Linked DNA regions of Arabidopsis thaliana. The protein of the gene in region 1 interacts with the protein of each later gene in a pairwise test. Each region holds a gene or a part of one and is shown in the gene's direction. Other genes may lie near its edges.

Region 1 (6,818 bases):
CATATGCGTCCTACAAATATAAAATTCAATTTAGATGGTTTTTCCTAATGCTATGTACAATATTAAAATGATTGTAGTCGAATCCAGTTAGTTAGCAACGAACCTGCATGCCGTATGCAGAAGGCTCACATTCTGTTTCATCAAGTCGATATTCGTGCATGACCCAACCAGTTCTTATGCCATGTGGCGCGCGCCCACGGTAGTAAACCAATGTCTTCTTGGTTCCTATGGCTCGGTCTCTCCAACTAACTCGGCGGTCTTTACCTGTAGCCTTCCAATAACCGCCTTTAGTTGCCCGGTTTGTCCTTGAGCCGTTGGGATACTTCCGGTCTCGTGGGCTGAAGAAGTACCATTCTTGGTCTTTGCTCGGAAGCAAGGACTTCCCTATTATTGAATTCATAATTGATTACTTTAAGTAACGTAATTTATCAGCAGATATTGGATGACGTAAATTAAAATTATGATTCAATTAAGCTGGCATTCATGTTTTCATGAGTTACAATTTTATATTTAAACATTTTTAAAAATTATTTTGACATTTTAATTCCTAAAAGATTTGGTGAAAATGATGAAAAAAATAATAAAATAGTTATTTACAGAACTAGTATGTGTAATTGCACATGTGGTATTTTCCCGGTAGAGACTAAAGTATATTTAGGGTTTCTTCATCAATGCTATATTCTTATTCTTTTCTTCAATCTCTCTTGTTCCTATGGGTTTTAGACAAATAATAATAATTCTTAACGATTACAGATGTTGTAATTTAAATCCATATAAATGAATAATATATGCAGAATTTGATAACTAAAGTAGAATCGCGTAATTAATGTTGATCAGAAATCATATTTTTCAAAAAATTTAAATCATATTTGATTAAGTGGATCTCATGCATAAACAAGGGAAACGTCAAATTAATATTACCTGGTAAGTCCCATGGCTCACACTTGTAAAGATCAACTTCAGCGATAACTTCAAGTTCGATTTCTAGACCGTTGATCTTTCTTTTTAGATAGTAAGTAATTAGTTCCTCGTCTGTTGGATGGAATCGGAAACCTGGAGGTAACGAGACAGGAGCCATATATATAATCTCAAGTTGTTCTTGAAGTTATTTTGTTTGAATCAATTTCAAAGAAAGAAAGAGAGAGAATCGAGACTCGAGAGGAAGAAGAAGAGATTATAGAATAGGTATATGTTTTGTGTTCGTTGAGGGCTTGGAGAGCAAGGTTATATATAAAGAGGTAATGAAAAAGGGAGATGCAAAAGTGAATAAAGGGAAGGTCCCCATCCCAAAATAACATATAATGTTAAAAAAATTCAAAATTTAATTAATATTTACAATTCATCAATTTCTGTCCGACGCATATATAATATTGTTCGAAGTGTTTTTTTTATATTGATAGATAATTAAAATGCTAACAAATAACATGATCACGTGTAGATTCTGGTACTTAACCGGAATAATTAATCAAAAATTGCCGCCCTAAATGTAAACCGTGTTTCTTCATCAATTATATTATCCCATGCTTCTCCGAGAGTGGTCGGTCTGGAATATATGTGCACTTGTCAGATTTCTATTGGTTGCATGGGAGATCGAATCTTGGGTTAACCCAAAACTGTTGCAATCTCTCTTTCTTTTTTTTCTTTTTTTTTTTTGTTATTTGGCGGCACTTCTAACTGAAATAACTGTCTCTTTTGTACCCACTTGCATGCGAATCCTTTGTTTCCCTTCACATTGCCATCCGATCTACGTACATAGATCTTTTTTAAAAATAGATATCTTGATGTTGTAAATTTATACTAGTAGTGTTTTACATTTTATTTTGTCATTTATATATGTCTATTTCTGTTTCTCATATTCATATTGTATATCGTATATCGAATAGAAAGATGAACTCCATTTTATGGTCGTTCCATCAGTTAATGCTCATATATTTTCTAGTGTATTAGGCTGTTAATGTAAGGTTGTGTGATTCGGGAAAAAAAATTGAAATTTCGGAGATTTTGAAACAAAAATTAAAAAATTGAGTGGCCAGAAATCCTTTCCTCTCCATATTTAGTGTCGTCATATAAAATACCAAAACTTTTGTTCCAATATAGAAAAACTATTGACCGAAAGTCCAATTACGTACTCCAAAGACTTATGGATATAAGAAATTATAGTTTGAGTATTTATCATTTTGGTCGAAACTCGAAAGCTATATATAATCATATGAACATACAGTCACATTTGGTGTAGGCGACTATAAAACTTATCTAAAGTTGATTTATCAAAAAAAAACTTATCTAAAATTTGGAAAAATGAAATCGATCAGATATATATATATATATATATATATATATATAAAATTTGAACAAGCATATGGTTTTGAGATGGTTATATGTATGATCATGTGGGATCCAGCAGTTGTGAACATGTGAATAAATCCTTGGAAGCTATTGATGGGCCAACCCAAGAGAATCACTTCTCAGCCTTTCTCATCATCGTCATAACCTTTTTCTCTCATTATTCCAAATTCCATATTCTCTTTCTTCTTTGTATCACCATATATATACACATATATATATATCTTTAATATATCTACAATGTGTACATAGTACATACCCTTCTTGAGACATTTCCCTCACATGAATCCATCTTTTGGTTCTTTACTTAATTCTTTTTAACGTTCACACACATTCTATAAACTAATAACATATTAGTCCTATGATTAGCCCCACCATTAGATTGGGTCATTGCCTCATTGGCAAAAATATATAAATTTGGTTAGAATGAGAAAGTAATAAATTAAAAGTTAATATGTAAAAATCGGTTGAAACTATTATGAAATTTCGGAGTCTACAAGATCCCCAAGACTTAAGACCGTGAAGAAAAATCACGAAATTACATGTAACTTTAGCTATAAAAAAAGAAGTCTAAATGATTATAATGATTTTTTCTCCATTTATTATATGATGAAAACGCGGATCTACAGAATTTAATGTCATTCCAAGATGAAATCGTACGTATGAAAATACACATAAGGAAAGTGTCATTGATTTGTTGAACGATGTGGGCTAAATGGGCTTTCCCGTGGGCCGAGTAACTTATGATCAATCTACAAGCGGTCACGTGAATAAATGGGCTTGACCGTGGGCCGAGGAACTTATGATTAATCTAAAAGCGGTCACGTGATTCCCAGCGGTGAGCGCACGTTAGAATAGTTCCCAGTTCCATAATGAGGCTAAAGTGAGCCGAACCATGTCTGAGAGTCAGAGAGATGAGATCATAAATTAATGGAGATCTTACAAATATGGAAAATTTTAAATACAAAAAATCGAACCAAAGAAGAAGAAGCCTACGGTTGTTCTGTTCCTTTCAATCTCACCAAATTTTCATCTTCACCTTCAATTTTGATAGATTCTCTTCACCGAACCAAATCCGTAACCCTAGCTTCTTCTTAAATTATAGAGAAAAAGAGTTAATTCGAATCTGGATGAAATTGGTTTTGTCTAGATGGAAATCTAGATGTGTCTGATTCCGAAATCTGAGTCTGAGAGATGCTAGGAGCGATTCATTTGGGAGTATTAGCAGCTTGTTTCGTCCTCTTCGTTCCCATGGCAATGGCTGGTTGGCATCTGAGCAGGAACAAGATGCTCTTCTTTAGTGGCGCTTTGTTTATTTCTCTCGCGGTTTGTGTTCATCTCACGCCTTATTTCCCTTCCGTTTCCGACATCGTTGCCTCTGTTTCCTCTGTTGTTGTCTACGATCATCGTATCTCTTGTATCAACGAGGTTAATCAGATTGTCTGGGATGTTAAACCGGTACCGAATCCGGAGTCTGTTCGTAGGAACAATGGCTCAACAAAGCTTGATTATTTCGTGAAGAACTGGGATTGGATGAAATCGAGGAAAGTTTTGAGTTGTGAGTTTCAGAAATTGGATAAGTTCGATGTTTCGGATTTGTTGAATGGATCGTGGGTTGTTGTTGCTGGTGATTCTCAGGCGAGATTCGTGGCTTTGTCTTTGTTGAATCTTGTTTTGGGTTCGGATTCCAAGGCTATGGATTCGGTTAGAGGGGATTTGTTTAGGAGACATAGTGATTACAGCATTGTGGTTAAGGAGATTGGGATGAAGCTTGATTTTGTTTGGGCTCCTTATGAGAAAGATTTGGATGATCTTGTGGTATCTTATAAGAAGATGAAAAAGTATCCTGATGTTGTGATCATGGGAACTGGGTTATGGCATATGCTTCATGTGAACAATGCTTCAGATTTTGGTTTTAGGTTGAGGCAATTGAGTAGTCATGTGGAGTCTCTAGTGCCCCTTACGCCAAAGGAGCAAGAAGGAGGTGGGTCGGTCTCCGGTAGATCTGTGCATCTGTTCTGGATTGGGATGCCGGTTTTGATCAACGGGATGTTGAATACGGATGAGAAGAAGGAGAAGATGAGTGATACGGTGTGGCATGAGTATGATAGATCACTCGGGGAGAGTAAGATCTTACGTCAAATGGGTGGTCCTCTTATCTTGCTTGATATCCAGTCGTTTACCTGGAACTGTGGACCGCAATGTACACTTGACGGGATGCATTATGACTCTGCGGTCTATGATGCCGCTGTCCATGTCATGCTCAATGCGTTGCTTATTGAATCTCATCAATCTTTATGAGTTCTTGACACGTTTTTTTTTTGTTTTTTTTCCTTTTATTTTGTTTGGGGTTCTCTTGTAGAGTTTTAAGAGAAGTGGGATGTTCATAGGAATTTTACAACACACGGTGATCCTTTTGGCCTGAGTGATCTTCACATTGGAGAAGTAAGTGAACTTACATTCATGGCTATAATAGGTTTAATATCTTTTGACTTTGAGAAGTTATAACCTTTAGCTATTCTGATTCTTGTTATATCACAGTACCCTTTTGGATTCTTTTTACGATAAGACTCAGTACTCATCATTAGCTTTAAGCACTTGAAGGAAGCTTTCGCTCCTTAGTAATGTAAACAAATAGATACAATAGTGATGTTTGTGTGATCACTGTTCTTAGTACATTGGTGAGTTTTTGTACCTATGCGTGGGAGAGAGAGAACTATGAAATGCAAAAGTCTGACCCAAGTTCTTTCCTTTTCAACCCTAAAGATAACCTTAGACCAAGATCGATATACTTGCCATCAAAAAATTCTGACCCGGAAAAAAAGAATCATGGGATTGTATCTCAATGTGTCCGTCTCTGTCTCACGGAGTCTCGAATTGTTTCCCTTCGAAGGTCTGTCCATAATTCCAGTTTTTCGGGGAGACATTGTAAGATGTCACGGTTGACCTGTCACTAGAAGTTACTTCAAATGAGAGAGCTTGGTTCCTGAGATCAGCATTAATATGCCAATTTTGTCCCCAATTACGACCCATAGGTAACCACCCGGTTCTCGACCCTTTGATCTTCACAGCAGCTATATCACCGGACCCTGCAACATTGGTGATCAAAACCGAAATGAAAATGCCTCCACCATCGACTGTAAACCGCATGCTCCCTTCCTTTCTACAGTTGATCCTGTTTTGGTAAAAGCCAACAAAAATGGTTGTAAGTCATAACTCATAACTTAAGTGATATGCAACTAACTATTTATAGGCTCAGCTCCAAAACACTTCACAAACTAATAAAGGATCTAATGATCCATTGTATCATGAACCTAAATAGTAGTTTACCGCATTGTGCCTAGAACTTCACAGAAACAGTCAATTTCAGTCCTCTCATGGCTAAGATGAAAATGAGAGCAAAGCTACTCAACTATGATGAGCAAACCTATCTACCATTTCTCAGAATCTTGTACACACTAAGATAAAACGATTAGGGGCAATAAAGTAAATTGCATATTGAGGAAGAGATTTAGGGTAAACCCATCTCACATAATAAAGCACACGGATATCGAAGAAGACACAAAAGCAAAAGCATCGCCGGATTTTTTAAATCGATAGTGGCGTCTAAAAGCAGAACCGCGTTCCCCACCACCGCAAACGCATTTTTTTAACAAAACGCGAAACAAATTGGGAAAAAGCGGAGAGAAACGCACCTTCGATACTGCACCGGCATGTTCCCAGCTTTCCAAATAGCGATCTTCTCAAACGCTTCGATCGGAAGCACGAAATGTTTGTTAGGTGGATTACAATGACCACCACCGTCGGGATCAAATCCGTAATTAGGAGCACAGAAATTCGTAGCGGTGAGTATAATTGAAGTTCCAGGGATACACCAACGGAGATCATCAACACATCTGAGCTCGAAACAAGCACCACAGATCTGACCACGCTCAAACAGAGTCTCGCTTAGACCAACAGTAGCCATACCGTACCCAGATTTGACGAGATCTCCGTATCCACACGCACCGCCCACCGCGTCTCGAGGATTCGTAGCGGCGTAGTAGGTGGCTCGAGCTGGACGCCATTCTGAGGCGTCGGAAGAAACGGAGGACGAAGAAGGTGAAGAGGTTGAGGAAGAGTAATGACAAATCGCCGGCGGCGATAGTGCAAGGAAGAGTAAAGGTAGAAGAAACCGTTGCATCTCTCCGGCGAGAGAGAAAATGCGAATTTTTGATTTTAGAGATTTTGATTTTTGATGATTTAATTTTGGTTTAGTGTTTTTTTCAGTCTTTTAGTGGGAAAACATTTTGCTTTTACCGGTTTGTCGGTTTATATAAAATGACTAAAATGCCCTCAATCGAAATGGGTTAGGGTAAGGCCCAAATCACAAAACCCAAATCTCGTGATCAAAGTGAGGACTTCAGTAACAATTTTGGGTCAACTTTACCTTTCGTTCATGTGTCTCCATCCGACTCTCTCCCATGCTCAAAAAA
Region 2 (7,038 bases), 1.9 Mb from region 1:
GTTTACACGCACCTGAAAATCCATTGGCACCAAACTCAGAAGCCAATTGTTTTAATGGGTTGATACAATGTGATAAGAGAATACACCTTACCTGGTCAAACTTGCCACTAAGGATAGCATCCCTTGCTTTCTCGGCAATTTCCAGTGCTTTCATCTTTGGCTGGACATTGAATGATATTCCACTATCACTTGGAATCTCAACGTACTCTTCTAACTTTTCATTGAAATATCCAGAGCGGTTGCCATTCCAGAAGAAGGTTACATGGCCAAACTTCACAGTCTCACTGTTTCAGTGAAATAAAATTTTAATAGGTTAATAGCTGAGAATTCATTCATTATATGTAACTAACCATCAACGGTATAATCTCATCAAGAAAAAGTGAGCTAGGAGATTTCACTAGTTTTAATCAACAAACAACCCCCAATCATAAATTAGACCTCTACCGAGCAAGTAAAGAAGACTGGATTACTCTTATCACAGTTTCAATTATGAATCCAATTCCAGCAAATAAATAAACCAGGAAGCAGCAATAGAAGAAAATGGCAAAGACAATAACTAAAGATTTGAGAGATTCTAAAAGTTAACCTGCAAGCAAAAGTACGAACGCCATTGTGTGCCAGATATTCACCAGAAGTTCTGTCAATCAATGGTGGAGAAACAAGATAGCGGCTAGGAAGCTTAAGCTCTCCATCATATTGGAGCATTCCTGCATAACGTATATCAGGGACACGTACGCGATCAAACTTGTCGAAATCTTTGTATTCGAGGGCCTTTGCATGCATGACCATTCGATCAGCACGGAAATTGAATGTAACAACTGCGTCACCATCAACAATTGGACCCACAGCCTTTCCATTATCATCAACAATAACAAACGAAGGCAAATACTGGTCATTGGCACCAGGTTCTGCCCTCAGTGTCTTAACTGCTTCAAGAGCGCTTTTAAATTTGTGGGGAGCTTCCCCAAGGACTTGTGCATCCCAACCTCGTTTAACAACACTCCAATCATTCTGCAAGGAAGGAAAGCAAAAATTGGATTCATTTCTAAACTAGACTAGACAAGGCATGACATTCATACAAGATCTCACAAGCATTGCCTACCTCATAACGGTCCATTGTGACATACATTCGACCTCCACCAGATGCAACCTGAGCATCAACACCTTTCGCACGTAAAGCAGCTAGGTCAGCTTCAAGAGTTTCAACAAATCCGACACTAGAACCATCCAAAACATCACGACCATCAGTAAGAATATGGACGCGGATTCTCTTAGCACCACGTTCTGCAAAACCCTTAAGCAGCAACTGCACCAAACAGAACCAAATTAAAGAAAATTAACAAACGCCAACGTTTCAAAAGAAATGTGTAACAGATGAGAATTAAGTACCTGGACTTGATCCAAACGAGAGTGAACTCCACCATCGCTTAGAAGACCAATAAGGTGCACAGTGCCTTTCTCAAAAGATTGAGAGATGTATTTGAAACCTTCATCTTCATAGATTTTCCCTGAAGCAAGGGCGAGATCAACAAGCTTAGCACCTTGAGCGTAAATTCGACCAGCTCCAAGAGCATTGTGGCCAACTTCACTGTTTCCCATGTCGTCTTCGCTGGGGAGACCAACGGCGGTACCATGAGCTTTGATCAACCTCCATGTGTCGGGCTTCCCCTGTGAAGAATAAAATCGAACCGTTGAAGTCCATAATCGGAATCCAGCGAAATCATCGAGGAAAGAAGTGGATATAAACAAAAAAGGAAACATACGTCTTTAAGGGAATCCATGGCAGGAGTTGGAGCTTTATGGATGCAATTGTATTGATCGGGATCAGATTCACCCCATCCATCGAGAACAATCAAACCGATAGTTTTGCCTTTGGGAAGCTTGGGGTGGTCCGCAAGTTTCCAGTTAACGTCGCCGGAGCTACCCATAACTGTGGATTCAGATCCACTCGTCGGTGAGAAATTAAAGGTTTAAGGAACAGATCTGAGAAGCGAGAGAGAGAGAGATAACGGAAGCTTACCAGCGGAGAAACAGAGGAAAGCTTCTCAAAGAGTCTTATGGAGATTCGCAGAGACAGAAGTGGTTATGTGGTGAAGTATGGTAGGTTGAGAGCTATCACTGACATAATATGAGACTTTTATAGAAACATAGAAATGGAAAAGTTAGCGATGACGTGGTACCAATTTAATGGGCTTTACTTTGGGCTCAAGTAAACATTGTGAAGCCCCCAAAAAAATGGAAGGAGACGAATGTTCTAGTTTTAGCTGCTATGAACGAATGTTCTGGATCATGCCGTTTGTAATAGTCATGGTGTGCGCCATGTAAAAAAAATTGTATATACCTTTTTATTTTGGTCAACGTAAAAAATAGCATACAGAAAAGGTCAAACCGGAGTTAACTTAATAGTTTATACGGTATTTGAACCAGAATTTGATCAAAAATGGGTAAGTTTTAGTAACTGGGATTACATTAATTTCTGTTGACAGTAACTTTTTTTTATCTAAATCATTATTTAAACCTTGAGATTGCATTAAATCAAACTGAAATTACACGAAAACCAAACCGAAAACTCATGTAAGAAATTCAGGGTTGTGCACATTTATTTATTCAATATCATCATAATATTAACTGGGAACCTTCAAAAGGTTGGTAGAAGGCTAAAAAACAATTTCTAATGGGCCAAAGACAAAAAGTTGAGTTCCTATATATTGGGCTTAAAAAGCCTGAAACTAGATGAGACGTGGTTCATAGTCAGATAAATGGGCCAAGGATAAGGAAAGACAAAAACAAAAGTAGAAAAGAATCATACAGTATACATATATGGGAAATATACAGAGAGAGATACAGATAACACAATAAGAGGTAGACGGACAACTGTTACGGCGAAATTGAATGCCGCAATGTATCAATATGATTGGTCGAAAAGGAAAGTAAAAAAAACAAACAAAATATTAAATTTTTGTTAATGTGTAAAGGGAGAAAAAATCAGATGAACAGGCTGTATCATTTTTTTTTTTGTGAACAAATGGGACTGACGACAACACTCTTCTTCTCCTTTTTGTCCTTTTGGCTCTCTCCTTCTCTCCTTTCTCTCTCTCTCTCTTTTCCACCGGCGACCATTCATTCTCTCTCCTCCTCCTCCTCCTCCTCCTCCTCAGCTTCCTCCATTGCTCCTTAACCCTCATTCCTCGATTTGTTCTTCTCTTCACCATTTCCCCTTTTTACCCTTTTTCTACTCAGACGTGACGGCGACTTTTTATTCCTGTGTCTCCCACCTTTGACTCGCCCTGGGGGGATTTTTTTTTGCTCCAGAGGCGAAAGAAACAAAAAAAAGCAATGGGGTTTCTCCGTTGTCTCCAGCTGCTGCTGCTTCTGTTTCTATCTCTTCGTCTACAAAAGCTCTCTGCTCAATCTTCTTCACCCAATGCTTCTTCTTCTTCTTCACTCGATGCTCTTCTTCAAGATTACTCTTTTAGAGCCTTGCTTCGTCCTCGTACCGGCATTCTCTACGAGGCTACTACTGTTCCTTCCAATTTGACTGGGATCAAACTCGCTGCTATGAGACTCAGAAGCGGAAGCTTTAGAAAACGTGGAGTCACTCCTTTTAATGAGTTCTCAATTCCCAGCGGCGTTATCGTCAAGCCGTATGTGACAAGGCTTGTTTTGGTTTATCAAAACCTAGCTAATTTCTCTCACTTGTATTACCCTTTGTCTGGTTATGATTATGTCGCTCCTGTCTTGGGTCTTCTCGCTTACGATGCTAAGAATCTCTCTGCGCTTAATTTGCCTCAGCTTGATTTAAGGGTGTCTAATGATCCTATCAGAATCGATTTCTCTGATCTGGAACGAATCCCGCAAGGGTCTAGTGCTAAGTGTGTTAGATTCGATTCTAAAGGTGAAGCGAGTTTCAGCGATTCGATTCAGCCTGGAAACACATGCGAGACTGAGCATCAGGGACATTTCTCTGTGGTGGTGAAATCTGTGGCTTCTGCTCCGAGTCTAGCTCCTCCTGGGATTGAGAGTAAGAAGAAGAAGAAGAGCTCTGATTCCAATTCCAAGACTTGGATCATTGTTGGGTCGGTGGTTGGTGGATTGATACTGTTGGGGCTTTTACTGTTTCTGGTTTTGAGATGTCGAAATTACAAGAAGCAAGAGAAAATGAGGGAGATGGAGAGAGCTGGAGAGACAGGGGAAGCTCTGAGGATGACTCAGGTTGGTGAAACAAGAGCACCAACTGCTACTACGACTCGTACACAACCAATGCTTGAAACCGAATACGCAGCTTAGGATACTTTTGTGTACATCATCATCATCATCACATCTTCTTGATCATCTGTTACTGTCTTTTTCTTTTTTTCTTCTACAATTATTCTTCTTTTGGTAAAGTGTTTCTTTTTCTGATTATTTTTTCTTTGTGGTAAGCAAGTTGATACTTCCACATTCATCTTGTTTCTCTGCTGGTGATAAGGAAATAAGTAATATTGTTTTCTTCTTGTGCTCTCAAATTAACAAACTTTGGTGGTCTCTCCATGAGAATGAAAAGAGTTGGATTGTTTCTGGAGTGCACTCACTTTGTTTTCTTCTAACTACTTTTGCTGTAAAGCTTTGCCCTTTTTGTAATAATTTCAACATCTTTTTGTCTGAGAAGCAGACAGTTGAAGAAGATGTATATCATCCTATCATCCATACTCAACTTTGTTACATTGAGCTTAGCATTCTTCAAAAGGAACTAGTGTGTTCTTGAGATTTGTTGAGTTTTAACATTTTTTGCAGCTATCTGCTTCATGCAACTTGTTGACCCTCACATTTATATTAGAAGATCACCGATGAACCAATAGATTTTGGAACCAAAGAGGTTAGAATCCGGTAGGATATGTAGAAGATGATTTGCACTTGGCAATGTTACAACGTTTATGTTTACATCTAGGATTGTCTTGTTTGCTTACCTTATATGAAAAGTCATCTCGTTCATATGGATTTTTTGCATTCTACATTTTAGAAAAGCACCGTTTGCCACTTCAGGTATGTAACAATGTGCACAGCTACAAATCTTTGCACTGAACAGATTTGGAATAAAGTTTGAGTTAAAGTGAATACATGACTTGGTTAATCCTGGCTTGGGCCATCTTGTGGCCTCTTGCTCATATCAAGTAAAATGCCATGACAACAACGTTAATGGCTAAGTTAGCATTGCAGCATCTCCTCTGACTTCTGCAGATACCAGGAGATTTTTTGTCTCATCATTCCAAAATCTTAAGGTTGAAAAAGAGATGAAGTAAAATGTATAAATGCGGTATTAATTGTGTTTCAAGGACACACAAATAATTGCCAGTTTTTGTCAAAAGGAAACTATAGTTGTAGAATATTCGTCTCTTTTCTTCTTTTTCTGTTATCTGTTCTATTAGAAAGCTAAAGAAATACATCAAAGTCAGGTCTCAACGGTAAAATGAAAACAAGCTTCTTTTTCACTAAAGAGTAAAAGAGATTCCTCTCAACATTGGTCTTTCATATTTTTCCTAGCTCATATTCTGGTGTGGTTGATCGAATCTTAATGAACCGGAGAAAATAAAAGATTTGATTATGTAATTTATCATAATCAAGAGCTTGTTTGTGAACACATGAAAAAGTAAAGGAAAGAAGAAGAACTCTCTCTGCCTGAGGAGTTGTAATTTTTGGCAGAAGCTGGTGTCGTTTTAAAGAGAAATTAGAAGTGAATCTATGTAGTTGTGTTGGTTGGTAAGATCGATTTAGTTACATTAAATAAAAAATATTCCTTTGAGCAAAAACAATTAAAAAAGATAGGTTTCGTCACAAGGTGGACCATTTCGAAGAAGAATTAAGAGACGAGCCCACTTGAAAGAGACATAGCGAGGGGACCCCATGTGAATCTGCAAGCAGAGACAGAGGCTTTGACCGTTCTCATTCATCAACCATCCTCCATTATTAGCCAGAGTCATAAACCATGTGATTCATCATCACAAGGCTTCATTGGACTCTCTCATGCATATTCACAATCTCCACTTCCATCTTATACAATTCCAGTTCCTACCCGCAACAAATCCAACACCTGAAGATGATACTGATGCTTTTGAAAGTATAACTAGGAATGAGAGAAGTACTAGGATGAGCCATCTTTCCAGATATTCATTTATTCACTCACACAGCAAGAGAGTAGTTCAGTGTATCATGCAACTTAAAAGCATACAAAATATCACGAATAGAGAAATATTGATAAACCAAATGTTATTGAGGTCTGATTTCTGAAAGCTTTAATATGTCCAAGGAAAATCAAATGGGAATGAAAGTACTAGATCCCCCAGCTTCTTCTTCTTCTGGAATGCACTTTATTTGTCACCACAAGTGGTCACCTTAAGCCCCTACATCACATCACCATATTACTCTCAGAGTTAACATCGCAAGCCAGAGGAGAAGAAAAGAAAGTAGTGAGAGGATTTCGCATGCAGAGAAGAAAGAACATCACTGTCCTAGAGCTTCACATTACAAAAAATAAAAACAGCTCCAAAAGATTATCAATAAACCAACCATAACCAGGACCTCAATCATTCCTAGACAGGGCAAAAACAAATAAAACAAACCACCATCCAGAAGCTTCCAGTGGTAAAACAAAAACTAAGCAGAAGTGCCTAGGATAATTTATCGAGTACCCAAAACTCAGGATATGATTCATTTCTCTACACAGAATAGCAACCAAACCAGGAACCCTGAAGCCTCAAACTGACAGAGAAGAGAACTAAGTAGTAACAAATCTGCTTGTTGCTTAAGAATACTTATACACTAGCTATATCCACAGGGCCTCTCTTATAAAGCTCTGAAAGCATATCCATTTTCAAATTTCAAGAACCAAAAACACAAATGATCACACATTTGAACCTTTACCGGCACACTAATTAGCTTATGAAACAACAAAACCAATATACTGATTTGCATATGAAATTTGACTCGTGGGAGCAACAAAAGAAGGTGTCTTTGGGGGATTTTCCAATATACAAGCAGTATCATGGCTATCGAAGAGGACTA
Region 3 (7,825 bases), on another chromosome or scaffold:
TTGTATCCTTCCATGGTCCGATACCCACAACATATTGCTTGATGTATTCGAAATACGCATCTGATGTGATCTCTGCATATGTCTGCTTAGATTTGCAAGAAAGATCAATCAGTCACTTTTAATAGAAGCAAAAGAACTTTCAGGAATCATAAACAATACGACGAGCAGAGCATTGACCTGGTTAGTGTCTTGCGTTGGCATGGTAACATCGTCTATTAGAAGGACTTTCGGCGAGTCTGTCAAGTTTGATATGTACACGAGTGAAGTTGGGGCAAATGACTGAATAAATAGTGGTTTTTTCAACCACTTCTTGGACAAATACGAGCCTCCATACCCATACTTCTTAAGTGTCTCCACAACTTTATCCTCAAATTTCTTACCACCAGGCCATTTGACCTGCAAATATATAACAGTGATAGAAGCAAAGGTTAATGACTCACCTGCAGTGGGAGTGAAAGCCAAAAAGAAATCATTTTCTGCAAATTGAACCAAATGGTATATGTGGCTTTTTAAAAGTCACTCTAAAGGATTTCAGTAAGAGTAGAAGTCAAGCTTTTAGGATTGTGACTCACATGCTGGTTCATTAAAACTGGATTTTTAATCTCAGGATATATTCCAACAACTCTTGGAGCATCCCGAGCAATGGTAAGAAATTCCTCAAATGTAATGATAGGGTACATTCCTGAAATACAAGCAAGATATGGGCATGGTTAAAGATTTCCTGTATTATGCAGTTCTTACTTTATATCTTCCAACAGCCAAAATACAGGAAAGAAAGGCGAGCAAACCGTTGTATTGCTGATCCCGAAAAGCATATCGCTGCTTTATACGTAGTTGCTTTAGTTCTTTAAGTGTAAAATCAACTACAAGCAATGAAAGAGGAATCACTTGTTAGCAAATCATTCAGACTCAAACAAACCAACTTGAAGCTTTATTAGATGCTTCTCTAGCTGTTATGAGATTATGTGCGAGAGATATTTTGAGCAAATGACTCTATCCTGAGACCGAATCCAGCAGCATGCATTGACTCAGACCTAGAAACAGAAGAAGAATTGATGTAACGTACAAGTGAAAAAGCCAGTAATGTTGAATCCTTGGACATCATATGTCCTTTTACGATCTGCAAACTCCTTGTGGCTCGCAACATTGGTTGTTTCGTCGAGAATACAATCATGGAAACATATGAGCACACCATCTTTGGATGATAAGATATCTGTTTCTATGAAGTCTGTGCCTTCTTCAATTGCTTTCTATCATAAGAAAAAAAAAATGTTTTACTTCTTATCTTCGGAAATCATCAAAGAGAAGGAGATTGATCAAGAAAGATCAACAGTATACCAAGTATGCAGCTGTAGTTTCTTCTGGGATCTCTCCATTGGAACCTCTGTGTGCGATGTTATAAGGACGTGAAGTCTGAAGTTGAAGCTTGACAGTTTTGGGTCCTTTAACAGGGAGAGGGTGCAATGTCCTCCCAGCAGCACACACAGTAAGTAGAGATAGCCATATCAAGGGTAAGCATCCTGTAAGATCACCAATAACCACTTTGTATTGACGTTAACAGAAACAGAGCCAAAAACAGAACCAAGACTCAAACTTTTTTTAGCTTAACAGGAAACAAATCCAGATAGAATGAGAAATAAGCTTTGGTCTCTCAAGACCCAAAAAATTTTCTAAGCTTATAATGAAACAAGAAACAGAAACAGATCCAGATTCAATAAAAGATTAAATTTTTTTGTTTTTAGTGTATAGTAAAAAAATGAAACAAATCCAGATTCTTACTTTGTTCTCAACCTATTCGCTTCTTTTTTTTAATTTACTATTCAGTTTTACGAAGAAAGGTGAAATTAGACAAATTTCACCAAAAAAACACAAGCTAATGCAATAGAAAGCAATCAGAAGCACAGAAAGATTTCATGCATACAAAACCCAGAAAACAAGAACAAAAAGAAAAGGTTGAAATTGAGAAGCTTTACTTACTTGTAAGAATCATGGCGATCTGGTAGATCGATCGGATTGCTTGTTTGATTCTCCTTATTTGTCTCTTATCCCACTCTATCAGTTCTTGTCCATTTATAATAAAGTGTTTCTAATGATATACATATATGATATATCACTCTTACTCCATTGACCTGTTTCTTGGCTTACCGCTCTTGGGCGAATATTATATCTTTCTTCTTCAATTCACGTTTTCCGAATATTCCATTTGTTTTTGGTTGACAAAGACTTTTTAAGGTTGCATTTTATATTTCTGAATAAAAAGTAGTAATACTACCAAGCAACGCCTCTCCATGCTAAAATTGCAAAGAACATCCTCCCATCTTTTATATTCCCCCACCAAAAAAAAGCGATGCATTACCAACTTTTTTTAATATTGATCCTCACCATCGAAACCTCATTATGCGTCTCGCCGGAGCTCGCCGGAATATACTTTTTGACTCCCAGTCGAAGGTCCGGTACGTCTTGATCGCTGTTCCAGCTTCATTTCTAAGGTCTGGGTCGACCCAATTGCTGTTTATAACTCCGATTGATGGACAGCGACGGTGGTAGCCGCCGTTTCGTGAGGATGTAGGGTTTTTATTTGGGCGGAGACAAAAATAAAATGTTTGCTGGAAACGGTGGCGTTTTTGGTGTTGGCGGTAACATCCATTGTTTCTGACGTGGCATATTATGCCACATAATCAATACAGTTACCGCAGAGAGTTTAAACTTTAAAGGTTAGATTTTTTTGTTCATATAATGCTTTAGTTATTCACATGTTTAACAGAATTCAAAGTTTATAACTTTATTCACTGAATGTGTAAGCAACACTTGAATCATTTTGTGGTATATATGATTGTGAGTAGTTGTTTTAAAAAATCAATTCAAAAATTTAATTCTTGGGCCTGTGTTGCAATAATCTCATTCGTTAATTTACTTGGCTACTGACAAGCGAAATATCATATGCTAAACCACTCATTTTCTAGAGAGACTTTGACTTGTATGCCCAACGAGTCTTACCATACTACTCTAAGTGAGTTAGTTAGACGCTAAAGATATGACTTTTCAAATTTACAGATATTTCTTGAAGAACTTGGTGTTTTCCGCTGGAAATTTGAAATTCTTATAGAGGTGGGGAGATGTTTGCTTGAACTCATATTCACATATTGCGTTTGAGTTTCTTTTGTTTCACTTTTTGTCTCATATTGATATTTGCTATGGAAGGGAAGGTGTTTTTGGGCCAATACTTGATATGGATTATGTTACTGCTGGGACAGATACATGGATCCAAAAGCTGTATTCAGAATGAAAAGAACGCTTTGTTGGACTAATGACACAAAGAGTGATTACTGTCTGTGGAAGGTCATTGAGTGATCGCACTAGCGGGCGGGTTATCAAGCTTTCCTTTGGTAAACCTTTCTTCAAAATCTAACTCACTTCAAGTAGAGTTGGGAAGTTCTTGGAAGCCGAAATTTCAGTTGAGTGTTATTTCACTAGGAGCTTGCAATTTGGTGAAGGTTCCTCATTTTCCTATACCAGAAGGATTTGCGTCATGTTGATCTCTCTAACAATAATAAGTTTCCATCGTGGCTGCTGGAGAACAATACAAAACTCGAGGCTTTGCTTCTACAGAATAACTCTTTTACAAGCTTGCAGCTACCGCAATCTGATCATAATCTGCTTTACCTGGATGTTTCAGTTAATGGATTTGATCAACTCTTTCCTCAGAACATTGGGTGAATACTTCCTTGCTTACATTATATGAATCTAACGACTAATGGTTTTCAAAGAAATCTACCATCTTCTCTGGGTAACATGGAAATGATTGAATTTCTGGATATATCTCACAACAGTTTCCATGGGAAGCTACCAAGAAGTTTTTTGAAGGGTTGTGATTCCTTGATAGTCTTGAAACTATCACATAAGAAACTAAGTGAGGAGGTTTTTCCAGAAGCATCAAACTTTTTTTCAATACTAGAGCTGTCTATGGATAACAATCTGTTTACAGGAAAGATTGGAAGAGGTTTGCAGAGCTTGAGATCTTTGATTATGCTTGACATTTCGAACAACAATCTCTCAGGTGTTATTCCAAGTTGGTTTGACCAACTTCAAGACTTACATTCGCTACAGATTTCTAACAACTTGTTGGAAGGTGAAGTACCTATATCGTTATTCAACATGTCCAGTCTTCAACTACTGGCCCTCTCTGCAAACAGTTTATCAGGGGACTTACCTCAAGCCATTTCTGGATATGGGGCATTAAAAGTGTTACTCCTGCGAGACAATAATTTATCAGGGGTTATTCCAGATACACTGCTAGGGAAGAATATCATTGTGCTTGATCTGAGAAATAACAGATTGTCTGGGAATATTCCGGAGTTCATCAACACCCAATACATCAGAATTCTTCTTCTCCGAGGGAATAATTTAACAGGCAGTATTCCTCGCCGGTTGTGTGCCGTAAGAAGCATTCACCTCCTGGATCTTGCTAACAACAAATTAAATGGATCCATACCTTCATGTCTTAGGAATGCATCACTTGGTTTGGGGAGAGGAGGATACATTAGACGATTATTTATAATCATTACGTTTTTTCTTTGGGAGCACCTGTCAGTACATTTTTCAAATCTCTGCTCGTGCAAGATGGGTTTGCTATCGATTATGAGTTAAGCACCCAAACGAAAATTGAGTTTGCAACAAAACACAGATATGATGCCTACAGGGGTGGAAATCTCAAATTATTGTTTGGACTGGATCTCTCAAAAAATGAGCTGAGCGGTGAGATCCCAATAGAGTTTGGAGATCTTCGGAAACTACATGCTCTCAATCTATCTCACAACAACTTATCAGGAGTATACCAGAAAGCTTTTCAGGACTGAAGAATGTGGAAAGCCTTGATCTTTCTTTCAACAGATTACAAGGTCAGATCCCACCACAACTAACGGAGTTGAGCAATCTTGAGGTCTTTAATGTCTCATACAACAACTTTTCAGGAGTCATTCCACAGGGAAAACAGTTTAACAGCTTTGACATGCGAAGCTACATAGGCAATCCTCTTCTCTGTGGGCAACCAACCGACATAAGATGCATTGGTAATACCTTTCAAGAAGCAGATTATGGAGTGGAAGCTGTTGAAAACACGATCGACATGGTTTCTTTCTACTGGAGTTTTGTTGCAGCATACATAACAATCCTTCTTGGGTTACTCGCATCACTCTCATTTGATTCTCCTTGGAGCAGAGTTTGGTTCTACATCGTCGATGCTTTGGTTCACAAGGTTAGGAAATTGTTATGGTAAAATACTGCAGGTGACAAAATGTTTCTTACGTGCTAGTTTCATTGTCGTCCCCTTCTGTTGTTCTTCTTCTCAAACCTCCTGCTTTGTTTCACAAAACCAGAACATAGCTTATGTTTTGGTTCCTCTGTACTGTCTTTTTGTCTTTGAATAAAAGTAATGCCTCAAAACATATCTTGGACTGGTTTGGTGGTTGGTTTAATTCATAATATACAGTAACACATGAATTTCTTCAGGAAACAATTTCATCGTAGAAACAGTACACATTACGAAAGACAAATGAATATAAATACATTTAATTTCCATTTTATCTTATGTTTTACCGAAATAATTTTATTTTATACAACTAATTTATTTCATCTATTTGGATGACTAGTTGAAAATTATTTGTAAAAAAATAAATTTGTTTTCTTCGAAGCTGCGAGAGTTAGTCACAGTTGACTATAGAGATTTTCTTCGAAGACAAAATGACGCCAACAAACGACGCCGTTACAGATCAACCTCTGTTTCAGACTTTCAGGAGTAACTGATCCAAGAGAGCCTCCTCATCAACTCCGTCAGCGTTGGGCTTCCTCAAGTCTAGTGGTTGTTCAACAGAATTCAAAGGCCATGACATCAAAGAGAGGCATTTCAACAAATATCATTGACATATAACAAATATCATTGAATGATTCAAAGGTACTATAACTTATAAGGCTAAACCAGTCAAAATAAACGAATGTGATCACTTGAATCTTAAGTGTTTAGGTAATAGAGACTTCAACATTGTAAATATAACCAATATTATTCGTCGTTGACCTTGACGTTATTCTGTTTTCACCGGATGTAGAAATTCTTATAAACGTGGAGACACTTGTATATATTTAACTACATTGCCTTGAAGTGTTTTCATTAATCTTTGAGTTTGAGTTTCATACATTTTCTTCTCTTCTTTTTTTCTTCCATCACATTTTCAATGGAAGGGAAGGTGTTCTTGGGTCACAACCTGATATGGGTGATGCTACTGATGGGGCAGTTACATGGATACAAAAGTTGTATTGATGAAGAAAAGATCGCTTTGTTTGAGCTCAGGAAACACATGATCTCAAGAACTGAATCCGAGTCTGTTCTCCCTACTTGGACCAATGATACAACGAGCGATTGCTGTCGATGGAAGGGCGTTGCTTGCAATCGTGTAAGCGGACGGGTGACCGAGATTTCCTTTGGTGGACTGAGCCTAAAAGATAATTCTCTCCTAAATCTTTCTTTGTTGCATCCCTTTGAAGATGTTCGAAGTTTGAACTTATCAAGCTCCAGATGCAGTGGCTTGTTTGATGATGTGGAAGGTATACCATACTGATTACTTTAAAACATTTTTCTGTTGCATGCTCACTTTGATATTTTCCATGTGTGGACTAATTCTTATTTCATTGTTTTAATACAAGAAAGTCCATATCTTCTGATAATACAGTGCTTAGCTTTTCTCTGTCTCTGCATTTACTTGCTGAGAAATGTTGCATTTTGCAATGACATCAAACGTTCACTTACATTCTAGTCCCATTTGCATAGAGTTCCTCTCTCACTATCTCCATTTGCATGCATCATTGCTCAGCATGTAAGTGAACTATGTTATTTTCATATACTTTGTTAACAAGATTCTTGTTTGCAGGTTATAAAAGCCTCAGAAAATTAAGAAAGTTGGAGATTCTGGATTTGGCTTCAAATAAATTCAACAACAGTATATTTCATTTTCTTAGTGCCGCTACATCACTCACAACTCTGTTTCTTAGGTCCAACAACATGGATGGCTCTTTTCCTGCTAAAGGTATCTCTACATTCTTAACTAAATCATACTATCTAGCGTGACCTTTCTATCGATCATGGATCATTTGTTGGCTTGATATTGCTGTAAAATTTGTATGTCTTTAATTTTAGTATGTAGCATTCTTTTATTTATTGGACTCCCTTTCACTTCAGAACTTAGAGATTTGACAAACTTGGAATTACTAGACCTGAGTAGAAACAGATTTAACGGCTCCATACCAATACAAGGTTAGTTATTTTAAAATTAACGCTTGCCTTTCTTTTCTATATTGGAAACTTAATACTAGATTTAACATCTAAAAACAACATTTTTGGAATGGTTTAAGTCATCCTTAAAGTTATTTGACCTTAGATGTGTATTTGCCTTTCGGCAGAGTTATCTAGCCTAAGGAAGCTGAAAGCTCTTGATCTAAGTGGCAATGAATTTTCTGGCTCAATGGAATTACAAGGAAAGTTCTGCACTGATCTTTTATTTTCCATCCAGAGTGGTGCATTCACGTTTGTTAAGTGACTAAACTTCTGCATTCGGTCATTGCAGGGATTTGTGAATTGAATAATATGCAAGAGCTTGATCTCAGTCAAAACAAACTCGTAGGCCATCTCCCCTCATGTTTAACTAGCTTGACTGGCCTTCGAGTTCTTGACCTTTCATCGAACAAATTAACTGGGACGGTTCCTTCTTCTCTCGGTAGCCTACAATCCCTTGAGTACTTATCGTTGTTTGATAACGACTTTGAAGGTTCTTTCTCA
Region 4 (8,974 bases), on another chromosome or scaffold:
TTGTTATAGAGATACGTACAGTTCTTGAAGTTGAGTTAGATTTTGTATGCTAGGTGGTATAACTCCATTTAATCCACTTGAAGACAAATCTCTGTTTGGAAGATCCAAGACATATCACATCAGATACATTTCAGGGCTTAAGATTTGCTAACAACATTGAGTTAGAATAAATGCTCTCACAATTTCACGATTCTTGGTGGTGTGGACACATCAATTACGTTGCAGCTTAAGCCAGTCCACAAAAACTGTTTAGGGACACATGGATCGCCCTGCCAGCTGATTCTGTTCAGTCCATAACTAGCTTGAATATTCTTTACAGCAATGACTGAAACATGGTGCAAATTAGCAAGAAATAATACGTGTAAAAAGCTATATGCATATTTGTTCAAAGGCAACATACCATCATTTTGATTTGTTTCTGATTGAGGAAACTCAATGCCCGTGAAAATTTCGAAAGCATTCATCAAGGGTGGAAGAGTCGATTTCGGAGTTTTTATAAGTTGCAGACGACAAAATCCTCCCTCGCATGTCAGTGGTACATTGTTGAACATAACTTGTGCTTCAAATCTGGTAGGACGGAAAGGATCGAAATGAACTTTATTATTTACCACAACTTCGAATTCTCTAGTTTCATTGGCCTGGACTTCCATGATCTCGGCGATGTAAATATAACCGTAAACCTGGTCAGTAGCCGTCTTCAAATTCCAGGTAATGGTCATTGGATCACTGGCATTAGCGGGCATGGCGCCGGTCCTAAGTACATCTTGTGGTGGGTCATAGCCATCTATAGAATCAATAACGTGGTGACTTGTGTTTATATGCGTCCATTCTGGTAATATCAACGGCACCCAAATTCTATCATGCACATCTTGGGGATAACTGCCAAAATCAAGTTATATATTTTACTTTACATCAACTAATAACAATAATTAATACTGTATAATCTTGGTTTACGCTAGATGGCTTAAATGACAATAATATTAAAGTTTTTGTGGAGATTAAAGTTTCTGCTCATAATCTACTTTGGTTATTTATAAAGCATAAGGTGAAAATAAGGTACCGTATATAGTTGTTTGAATCGGTGAAATAGAACCGGTTATAATTCCTCAAGGAACCGGTTTGAGCAATATAAGTATCATATAGCAAGGGTCTCAACTCTATGGATGATATCATTGGTGTACTCGTCCCTGTCTTGACGAGACATATGTCCAAGATGTTAGACCTTGTGATGTGAATGATCTCCTCCAGAACTCCATCACCTGACTTCCCCATATCTATGGTTGTCCAAATATTAGGACCAAGATAGAGGTCGAATCTTGGAGAATTGTTAAGCCCGTCATAGTTTCCATATCGAAACATAACCCTGATTAGATAATTTGTGTCTTGCTTGACATTTAGACTGTAACAATTTCGGATTCCATCCGGAAAGTATCTCAAAACCGTATATGGCTTCCTGAGTTTCATAAGCAAGTCTTTTTGGACATTACCAGTTTTTCCTCCTTGAATGAAATCAGCATCGGATATGTACGTCAGATTGCTATTTGCTTCGTTGTAAGGAGACTCGTTAGAAGCTAATCCACAATCCAAACTGATGAATCCTGGTAAGACCGAAAAGGGAGAGGTACATATTGTTTTTCTTATATAAAGTTCTATCTCAAAAAAAAATTTAGAATGGTTTATTTCCAAAATTATTGTAAAAAAGAAAAACAGATGATAAAAAGACCTTGTTGATTCTGAGATTGAACAAGATGTAAGATGGATAAAGTGGCACACGCAGCAAACAGAAGCCTGGTGCAAGTGTCCATTTTTGATGATTTCTTCGTTCACAACTAACAAAACTTACTACTACCAAAGTTTTGAAATGGACAAATTTTTAGTGTTATAAGCTGCAAATGGAATTAATCATGGTGACGTCTACGTATAAATTTTGTTTTAAAAACTTAAACTTTTGCCATGGTTTTATCTAACGAATAATAACAGCTAACCACTGGTATAATATCCATATAAAATAAATCAAGACGTTAGTGGTTGATTATAAAATTTTTGAAATGAAAAATATGCAACCAGGTTATATACTCTCTATATTTTAAAAATCTCGATTCATTTGTTCACTTTTGCTTATATTCGTGGTTTGATTCTGACACGATCGGTGACTTTGCCATATATGAATATGACATCCCTTCACACACACGGTAATAACTCATTTTCTCAGGTTAATCTACTATAGGTGTGCTTGATGATAACCAATTAGAATCAATCAGTTCTACTAATTTCCACTTGCAAACCTTTTTTATAAAATTTAAACATGACACACACTTGTCAGATTTTATAATTCCACTTGAGAAAAGTCTTACCATAATCAAATTATTAGACAAATTATTTCGAATTTGGTTAGAAGATCGGTCCAACTCAATAGGTGGCTTATTGTTATTGGTATGTGAACGTTGACATATTTCCCGTTATGATCCGCCCCAAGCAGAAATATAAGTTAATAAATAATTATTTAACAATTCATCCGTTTTTTATATCCAAAGGTTTGATTTGGCATGTTTTATATTGCAAGTACATTGGCAATTCGTAATCCTTTTTTTTTTTTGGACAGAGGTGGGAAAATGAAAAACCTCCGTGGACTTCTATTGGCCTTCCTAGTTTTGTCTTTAGGCATTTCCGATTTTCTTCGAGCACAAGATCAACAAGGTATAACTTTTTTTGTTTCAGGTTTTCTTCTTTTAACTTTGACTAAACATGTTTCCTATCACAATTTAGTCATTAATTCAGTTTCCAAACTTATTTTTTTACCAAATTATTTCTCTGTTTTTTTTCTTTTGCCTTTATCAGGATTCATCAGTTTGGATTGCGGGTTGCAAGCCGATGAGTCTCCTTATACCGAACCATTAACAAAGTTAACATTCACATCAGACGCCGATTTCATCAAAAGTGGAAAAAGCGGCAAGATTCAAAATGTTCCGGGGATGGAGTATATAAAGCCATACACGGTTTTGAGATATTTTCCAGATGGAGTACGAAACTGTTATACTCTTATCGTCATACAAGGCACAAACTATCTGATCGTAGCCATGTTTACTTATGGAAACTACGATAATCTTAACACACACCCAAAGTTCGACCTTTATCTTGGTCCAAATATATGGACCACGGTCGATTTGCAAAGAAATGTAAACGGAACAAGGGCGGAAATCATTCACATACCAAGGTCAACTTCTTTGCAGATTTGTCTTGTTAAGACGGGAACAACTACGCCGCTAATATCAGCTTTAGAACTACGACCATTGAGAAATAATACTTATATTCCTCAATCTGGTTCCCTCAAGACATTGTTCCGCGTCCATTTGACTGATTCCAAAGAAACTGTTCGGTAAGCCAACTCAAAACCAATTGGTAATGAATAGATTGGTTTCCACTGGATACACTGTTCGGTAATACTTTCCATCCTTTCTCTTCAGGTATCCAGAAGATGTCCATGATCGTCTTTGGAGTCCATTTTTCATGCCGGAATGGAGACTGTTAAGAACAAGTCTCACGGTCAACACTTCTGATGATAACGGCTATGACATACCGGAAGACGTAGTGGTTACGGCAGCCACACCTGCAAATGTGAGTTCACCATTAACCATTTCTTGGAATTTGGAAACACCTGACGACTTAGTTTATGCATACCTCCACGTCGCTGAGATCCAATCCTTAAGGGAAAATGATACCAGGGAATTCAACATTAGCGCAGGCCAAGATGTTAACTATGGACCTGTTAGTCCTGACGAGTTTCTAGTGGGTACTCTATTCAATACATCACCAGTTAAATGTGAAGGAGGGACATGCCATTTGCAACTAATAAAAACTCCAAAATCAACTCTCCCTCCCCTCCTCAATGCTATTGAGGCTTTTATAACAGTGGAGTTTCCGCAGTCTGAAACTAATGCAAATGACGGTATGTCAGCAAAATCTGAGTATATATATACTTTTTTGTATATACTTAAGTGTTTTCATTCTGTTATTGTGTGTTAGTCCTTGCTATCAAGAGCATAGAAACAAGCTATGGATTAAGTAGAATTAGTTGGCAAGGAGATCCATGTGTTCCTCAACAATTATTGTGGGATGGTCTTACCTGCGAGTACACCAATATGTCTACACCACCAAGAATCCATTCCTTGTACGTCCATGGCTATTCGTAACATTAAAACAGTTTTTTGTTAAGCTCTGCATTTCGTAACATCTTACACTTTAAATGTGTGTTATGATCTTTAATTACCACCAGAGACTTGTCCTCAAGTGAACTAACTGGAATTATAGTTCCTGAGATCCAAAATCTTACGGAGCTTAAAAAATTGTAAGTATGAACACATTGCCAATTTTTTATCAAGGTCAAACACATACTCTGTTTTACCTGAATACTCTGTTTTACTTGAATACTCTGTTTATCAAGGCCAAACATATAATCAATTAATTCATTTTTGCATATGATAGGGACTTTTCAAATAATAATCTAACAGGTGGAGTACCTGAATTTCTAGCCAAAATGAAATCATTGTTAGTCATGTAAGTTACTTGGTCACTCATATGAATCACATTGCCAATTTATTATCCGAGTCTGTTGATGTTTATTTTTTACCTAGGCAGAAACTTAAGCGGAAACAACCTTAGTGGATCAGTCCCTCAAGCTCTTCTCAACAAAGTGAAAAATGGGTTGAAGTTGAAGTAAGATCTTCTCAACTATATTTAGTCTTCAATAGTTGATGGTCATTGAAATATGATATCTTAATTTGCAGTATGTCTTCACTAACACTTGATTAGCTTGTTTACAATACTAGCATTCAGGGAAATCCAAACCTATGTTTTTCCAGTTCATGCAACAAAAAGAAAAATAGCATCATGTTACCAGTTGTTGCATCACTTGCTTCTTTGGCTGCTATAATAGCAATGATCGCTCTGCTTTTTGTTTGTATTAAAAGACGCTCATCAAGCAGAAAAGGTATCTGTATCAAATTCATCAAACCAGAAATATTATTGTATGCATACATAATTATAAAGTGATTTCTAATTATTTGTGTATGGTTCTAGGTCCATCACCAAGCCAACAATCAATAGAAACAATAAAGAAAAGATATACATATGCCGAAGTTCTTGCCATGACAAAGAAATTTGAAAGGGTTTTGGGTAAAGGAGGATTTGGAATGGTCTATCATGGTTATATAAATGGTACTGAAGAAGTAGCGGTCAAGCTACTCTCTCCATCATCAGCTCAAGGCTATAAAGAGTTCAAAACAGAGGTTTCTTTGGCACCCTTATGAATTTTTATACATTTTTGTAAGGCTAAGTTGACGTATATTATATATTGTACATATTTGGATAGGTAGAACTTCTTCTAAGGGTTTACCACACAAATCTGGTAAGTCTTGTTGGATACTGTGATGAAAAAGATCATCTGGCCCTCATCTACCAGTACATGGTCAATGGCGATTTGAAAAAACATTTTTCAGGTAACACATGTATATTCTCATGCATATATCATGACAGAAATGCATCGTGTTGATATGTGACATTCATGTCTATGCTAATACATGCAGGTAGCTCCATCATTAGCTGGGTTGATAGACTAAACATAGCTGTTGATGCAGCGTCAGGTTCGTCATTTTCATTTCCTTTTAACACCACTTGATCAAACTTTCTATTGTTTTGTTAAACACCAAAGAACTTTGGAGACAGGTTTGGAGTACTTGCATATTGGTTGCAAACCGCTGATAGTTCATAGAGATGTAAAAAGTTCTAACATACTATTGGACGATCAATTACAAGCTAAGCTTGCAGATTTTGGGCTTTCTAGATCTTTTCCCATTGGGGATGAATCTCATGTGTCTACACTTGTTGCTGGAACATTTGGATACCTTGATCATGAGTAAGAATTTTAGCTCTTTCTGAAAACTATCTTCTCTACCGGTTAAAACAAAAGAATCATAATCATTTCGTCTTGCAGATACTACCAAACTAATAGGTTGTCTGAGAAGAGTGATGTCTACAGTTTTGGTGTTGTACTGCTAGAAATTATTACAAACAAACCGGTGATCGATCATAACCGCGACATGCCTCACATAGCAGAATGGGTGAAACTTATGCTTACTAGAGGAGACATTAGCAATATTATGGATCCTAAACTTCAAGGGGTCTATGACTCTGGTTCTGCATGGAAAGCTCTTGAATTAGCAATGACATGTGTGAATCCTTCTTCCTTGAAAAGACCCAACATGTCCCATGTTGTTCATGAGCTGAAGGAGTGTCTGGTATCTGAAAACAACAGGACAAGAGACATAGACACATCGAGATCCATGGACATTAACTTAAGCTTTGGCACAGATGTGAACCCCAAGGCACGTTAGTCTTTTACTCTTTACTTTGCAGCATTCATAACAAGCAGATATGCGAACGAACTTATCATTATGTTGATGAATCCTCATGTTACAAAGATCAAAATTAAATGTTTGTCGTAGTGTAATGAGAGGTGAACTGTATTTAAACAGAATTCTTACATTAAGAGAGACAAAAACTGTACATCCAGATTCCATTCTCAGGACATGATATAGGAACTTCATGTCCTGCAAATGTTTTACCAAGAACACTGAACACAGACCCAGGACGTGTTTAACCCTATTCAAACATACAGTGGCGAGGCTGATGGGCGAGGATAAGCAACAACTGTACTGCCAACAGCAGTCTGTCGAGCAAAACCTGCATTCACTTTTTTGCTGACAACACTGTCACTTCTCCTACGCATTCTTCTATCTGTTTTATCCATATTTCCTCCTATAGCAGCATTTAAAGACTGAATGTGTTCGAGGTGCGAAACAACCTCGCTCATGTTTGGTCTCAGCTTAATCTCTGTGGTGAGACATCTCAGAGACAGAGTAGCCACTTTACATGCTTCTTCCATAGAGTACTGGTCCTGAAGACGATTATCAATGACTCGGAATATCTTTCTTTTGTTTACGAGGTATGGTTTAGCCCACTCCACAAGGTTCCTCTCTCCAGATGGGCGGTTCTTGTCCACTGCTCGACGACCAGACAACAGCTCCAGAAGGACAACCCCGAAGCTATAGACATCACTCTTTGTTGTTAGATGACCTAAGGAAAATGTAAAGTGATCATTCATATGAAGAAGCCAATTCCAGAAAACAAAGATTTGACCAAAAAGGATCCGACACTTACCGGTTGCAAGGTATTCAGGAGCTGCATATCCGTGTGTACCCATGACTCGTGTAGAGACATGACTTTTATCACCTATTGGCCCATCCTTAGCCAACCCAAAATCAGAAAGCTTTGCGTTGTACTCCTGAGATTATGTACCAGAAATTTTCCATCATAAAGCTTAAAACTTTTGCAGTTCTGTCATGGCAATCATATCAAGTTATTAACAATGAGTAAAAGTTTAAATTACCGAGTCAAGAAGGATATTAGAAGTCTTGAAATCTCGGTATATCACTCTTGTCTCGGAACTGTGAAGAAAAGCAAGTCCCTTTGCAGCACCAAGAGCAACTTTCAACCGAAGTTTCCAAGATAACGGTTGGAAGTACAAACCTCCTGTAACCCAAGAAAAACAAACCTGAATATTCACAAACGTCATAACAAAGCTTTAAGTTTGACCTCAGCCTGGGATTAGACTTAAGAGTAAGGACGACATACTCCTGAAAAGATGATTCTCCAAGCTACCCCGAGGCATGAACTCGTAAACAAGAAGACGGTGCTCATCCTCTAGGCAATAACCAATCAGCTTCACAAGGTGACGGTGAGAAAACTGACCAAGGTAATTCACTTCAGCCTGCAAAATCATCAAAACTGAAGATTAATGAAAAACAAACAAGAACCAAAATTGGCATATTTTAACTTATAGCATTATTACCAGCCACTCCTGGTGACCTTGCCAACCATCTTGGTTAAGCTTTTTGACGGCAATAACCAAACCCGTGCCTGGTCTTGAGGCAGTGAGAGACTTCTCATCAATCCATCCTTTGAAAACACAACCGAATCCACCTTCACCAAGCACACTGTCTGGTCTAAAATTCCTGGTTGCTGATTTAAGCTCAGCAAAGCTAAAACTCTTGAGATTTGGAGACTGTAAGATCTCACCCTCAGTTCGAGGGCTTGGTCTTACAGACACAGACGAAGCCTTGCTCCCAAGACTTCCTATATCTTTGGCGTCATACTTCGTACTCGCTCCTAAGCCAACCAAATAAGAACAAAAAAAGTATTAGTTTCGTCATACATTCGAACCAAATCTGACAGAAACACCTAAAACCCTAACCTCAGATTGGAAAAATCAAAACTTTAAGGTAATGAAACAACAAATCTAAGTACTTTGCCTTGACAGAATAACAGAGGAACAGAAGCCAAAAGATTCCTACGAGAAGGCTCATAGTTTGTGATAGGAAAAAGCATTTGAAGTAATGTGTTTACCTGAGCTCTCAGCTTTGACCTGAGCACTCAAGCAAATCCCCATGATTGAGTAATTTCAGAGAGAGAGGGAACCAAGTTGGACACGCTTCTGCAATCTTCTCACAATATATCACACTTGAAGATAAGAAAAAGGTAGAAACTTTTAATCAATGGAAGCTGGAAAAGATGAGAAGGAAATCAAATTGGTTTAAAGGAAAAGATTTGACAACTAGTAACAACCCCAAAAATGTATGCACACTTTAAAGCATATGACCAAGTTCATCAAATCTCTTTTGCCGATTTAAGTAACCTAACAACTAACACATGAAGAAATAATTAAAGACAAATTCTTACTCACCTTTTTTTTTTATCTTCTTTGTTCTGAGCCAAGAGATTGAGAGAAGAGAGTGTGTGAGAAAAGCCTTGTAGTTGGGTGGTAGCATTAATGGCGGATCGGTCCCGCCTTTCTTTGTTTCTCTTTCTTTCTATCAGAAATCAAAAATTATCCCCACTTTTTATTATTGTTGTCATTTCT

What was found.
Region 2: the proteins of AT3G03210 (region 1) and AT3G08600 interact in a protein complementation assay, tested with the Arabidopsis thaliana proteins (one large-scale study listed by BioGRID).
Region 3: the proteins of AT3G03210 (region 1) and RLP16 interact in a protein complementation assay, tested with the Arabidopsis thaliana proteins (one large-scale study listed by BioGRID).
Region 4: the proteins of AT3G03210 (region 1) and AT1G07560 interact in a protein complementation assay, tested with the Arabidopsis thaliana proteins (one large-scale study listed by BioGRID).

What each region holds. Positions count from the first base shown.
Region 1 is NC_003074.8:737,450-744,267, forward strand, and holds AT3G03210 (Pmr5/Cas1p GDSL/SGNH-like acyl-esterase family protein), read left to right. Parts: upstream 1-3,254; 5' UTR 3,255-3,537; coding exon 3,538-4,644; 3' UTR 4,645-4,860; downstream 4,861-6,818. Other genes in the region: NAC045 (NAC domain containing protein 45), read right to left, coding at 1-10, 104-384, 922-1,078; EXPA13 (expansin A13), read right to left, coding at 5,206-5,518, 6,039-6,526. UniProt on the Arabidopsis thaliana protein: Component of the plant cell wall polysaccharide acetylation pathway. Does not directly catalyze O-acetylation of xyloglucan but exhibits weak acetylesterase activity in vitro.
Region 2 is NC_003074.8:2,609,310-2,616,347, forward strand, and holds AT3G08600 (transmembrane protein, putative (DUF1191)), read left to right. Parts: upstream 1-2,865; 5' UTR 2,866-3,336; coding exon 3,337-4,287; 3' UTR 4,288-4,709; downstream 4,710-7,038. Other genes in the region: iPGAM2 (Phosphoglycerate mutase, 2,3-bisphosphoglycerate-independent), read right to left, coding at 1-12, 92-284, 587-1,011, 1,103-1,306, 1,390-1,668, 1,764-1,928.
Region 3 is NC_003070.9:27,904,561-27,912,385, reverse strand, and holds RLP16 (receptor like protein 16), read left to right. Parts: upstream 1-3,027; 5' UTR 3,028-3,738; coding exon 3,739-4,647; 3' UTR 4,648-5,477; downstream 5,478-7,825. Other genes in the region: GDPD5 (PLC-like phosphodiesterases superfamily protein), read right to left, coding at 1-82, 178-396, 573-682, 789-863, 1,067-1,250, 1,339-1,520, 1,978-1,990; RLP15 (receptor like protein 15), read left to right, coding at 6,228-6,597, 6,921-7,076, 7,229-7,303, 7,450-7,563, 7,614-7,825.
Region 4 is NC_003070.9:2,324,708-2,333,681, forward strand, and holds AT1G07560 (Leucine-rich repeat protein kinase family protein), read left to right. Parts: upstream 1-2,607; 5' UTR 2,608-2,612; coding exon 2,613-2,697; intron 2,698-2,838; coding exon 2,839-3,376; intron 3,377-3,464; coding exon 3,465-3,946; intron 3,947-4,023; coding exon 4,024-4,168; intron 4,169-4,273; coding exon 4,274-4,345; intron 4,346-4,482; coding exon 4,483-4,554; intron 4,555-4,635; coding exon 4,636-4,713; intron 4,714-4,826; coding exon 4,827-4,987; intron 4,988-5,076; coding exon 5,077-5,285; intron 5,286-5,368; coding exon 5,369-5,495; intron 5,496-5,582; coding exon 5,583-5,639; intron 5,640-5,721; coding exon 5,722-5,911; intron 5,912-5,989; coding exon 5,990-6,389; 3' UTR 6,390-6,441; downstream 6,442-8,974. Other genes in the region: AT1G07550 (Leucine-rich repeat protein kinase family protein), read right to left, coding at 20-91, 181-325, 401-879, 1,061-1,598, 1,724-1,805; APK1A (Protein kinase superfamily protein), read right to left, coding at 6,662-7,131, 7,216-7,339, 7,445-7,587, 7,690-7,825, 7,907-8,223, 8,367-8,442.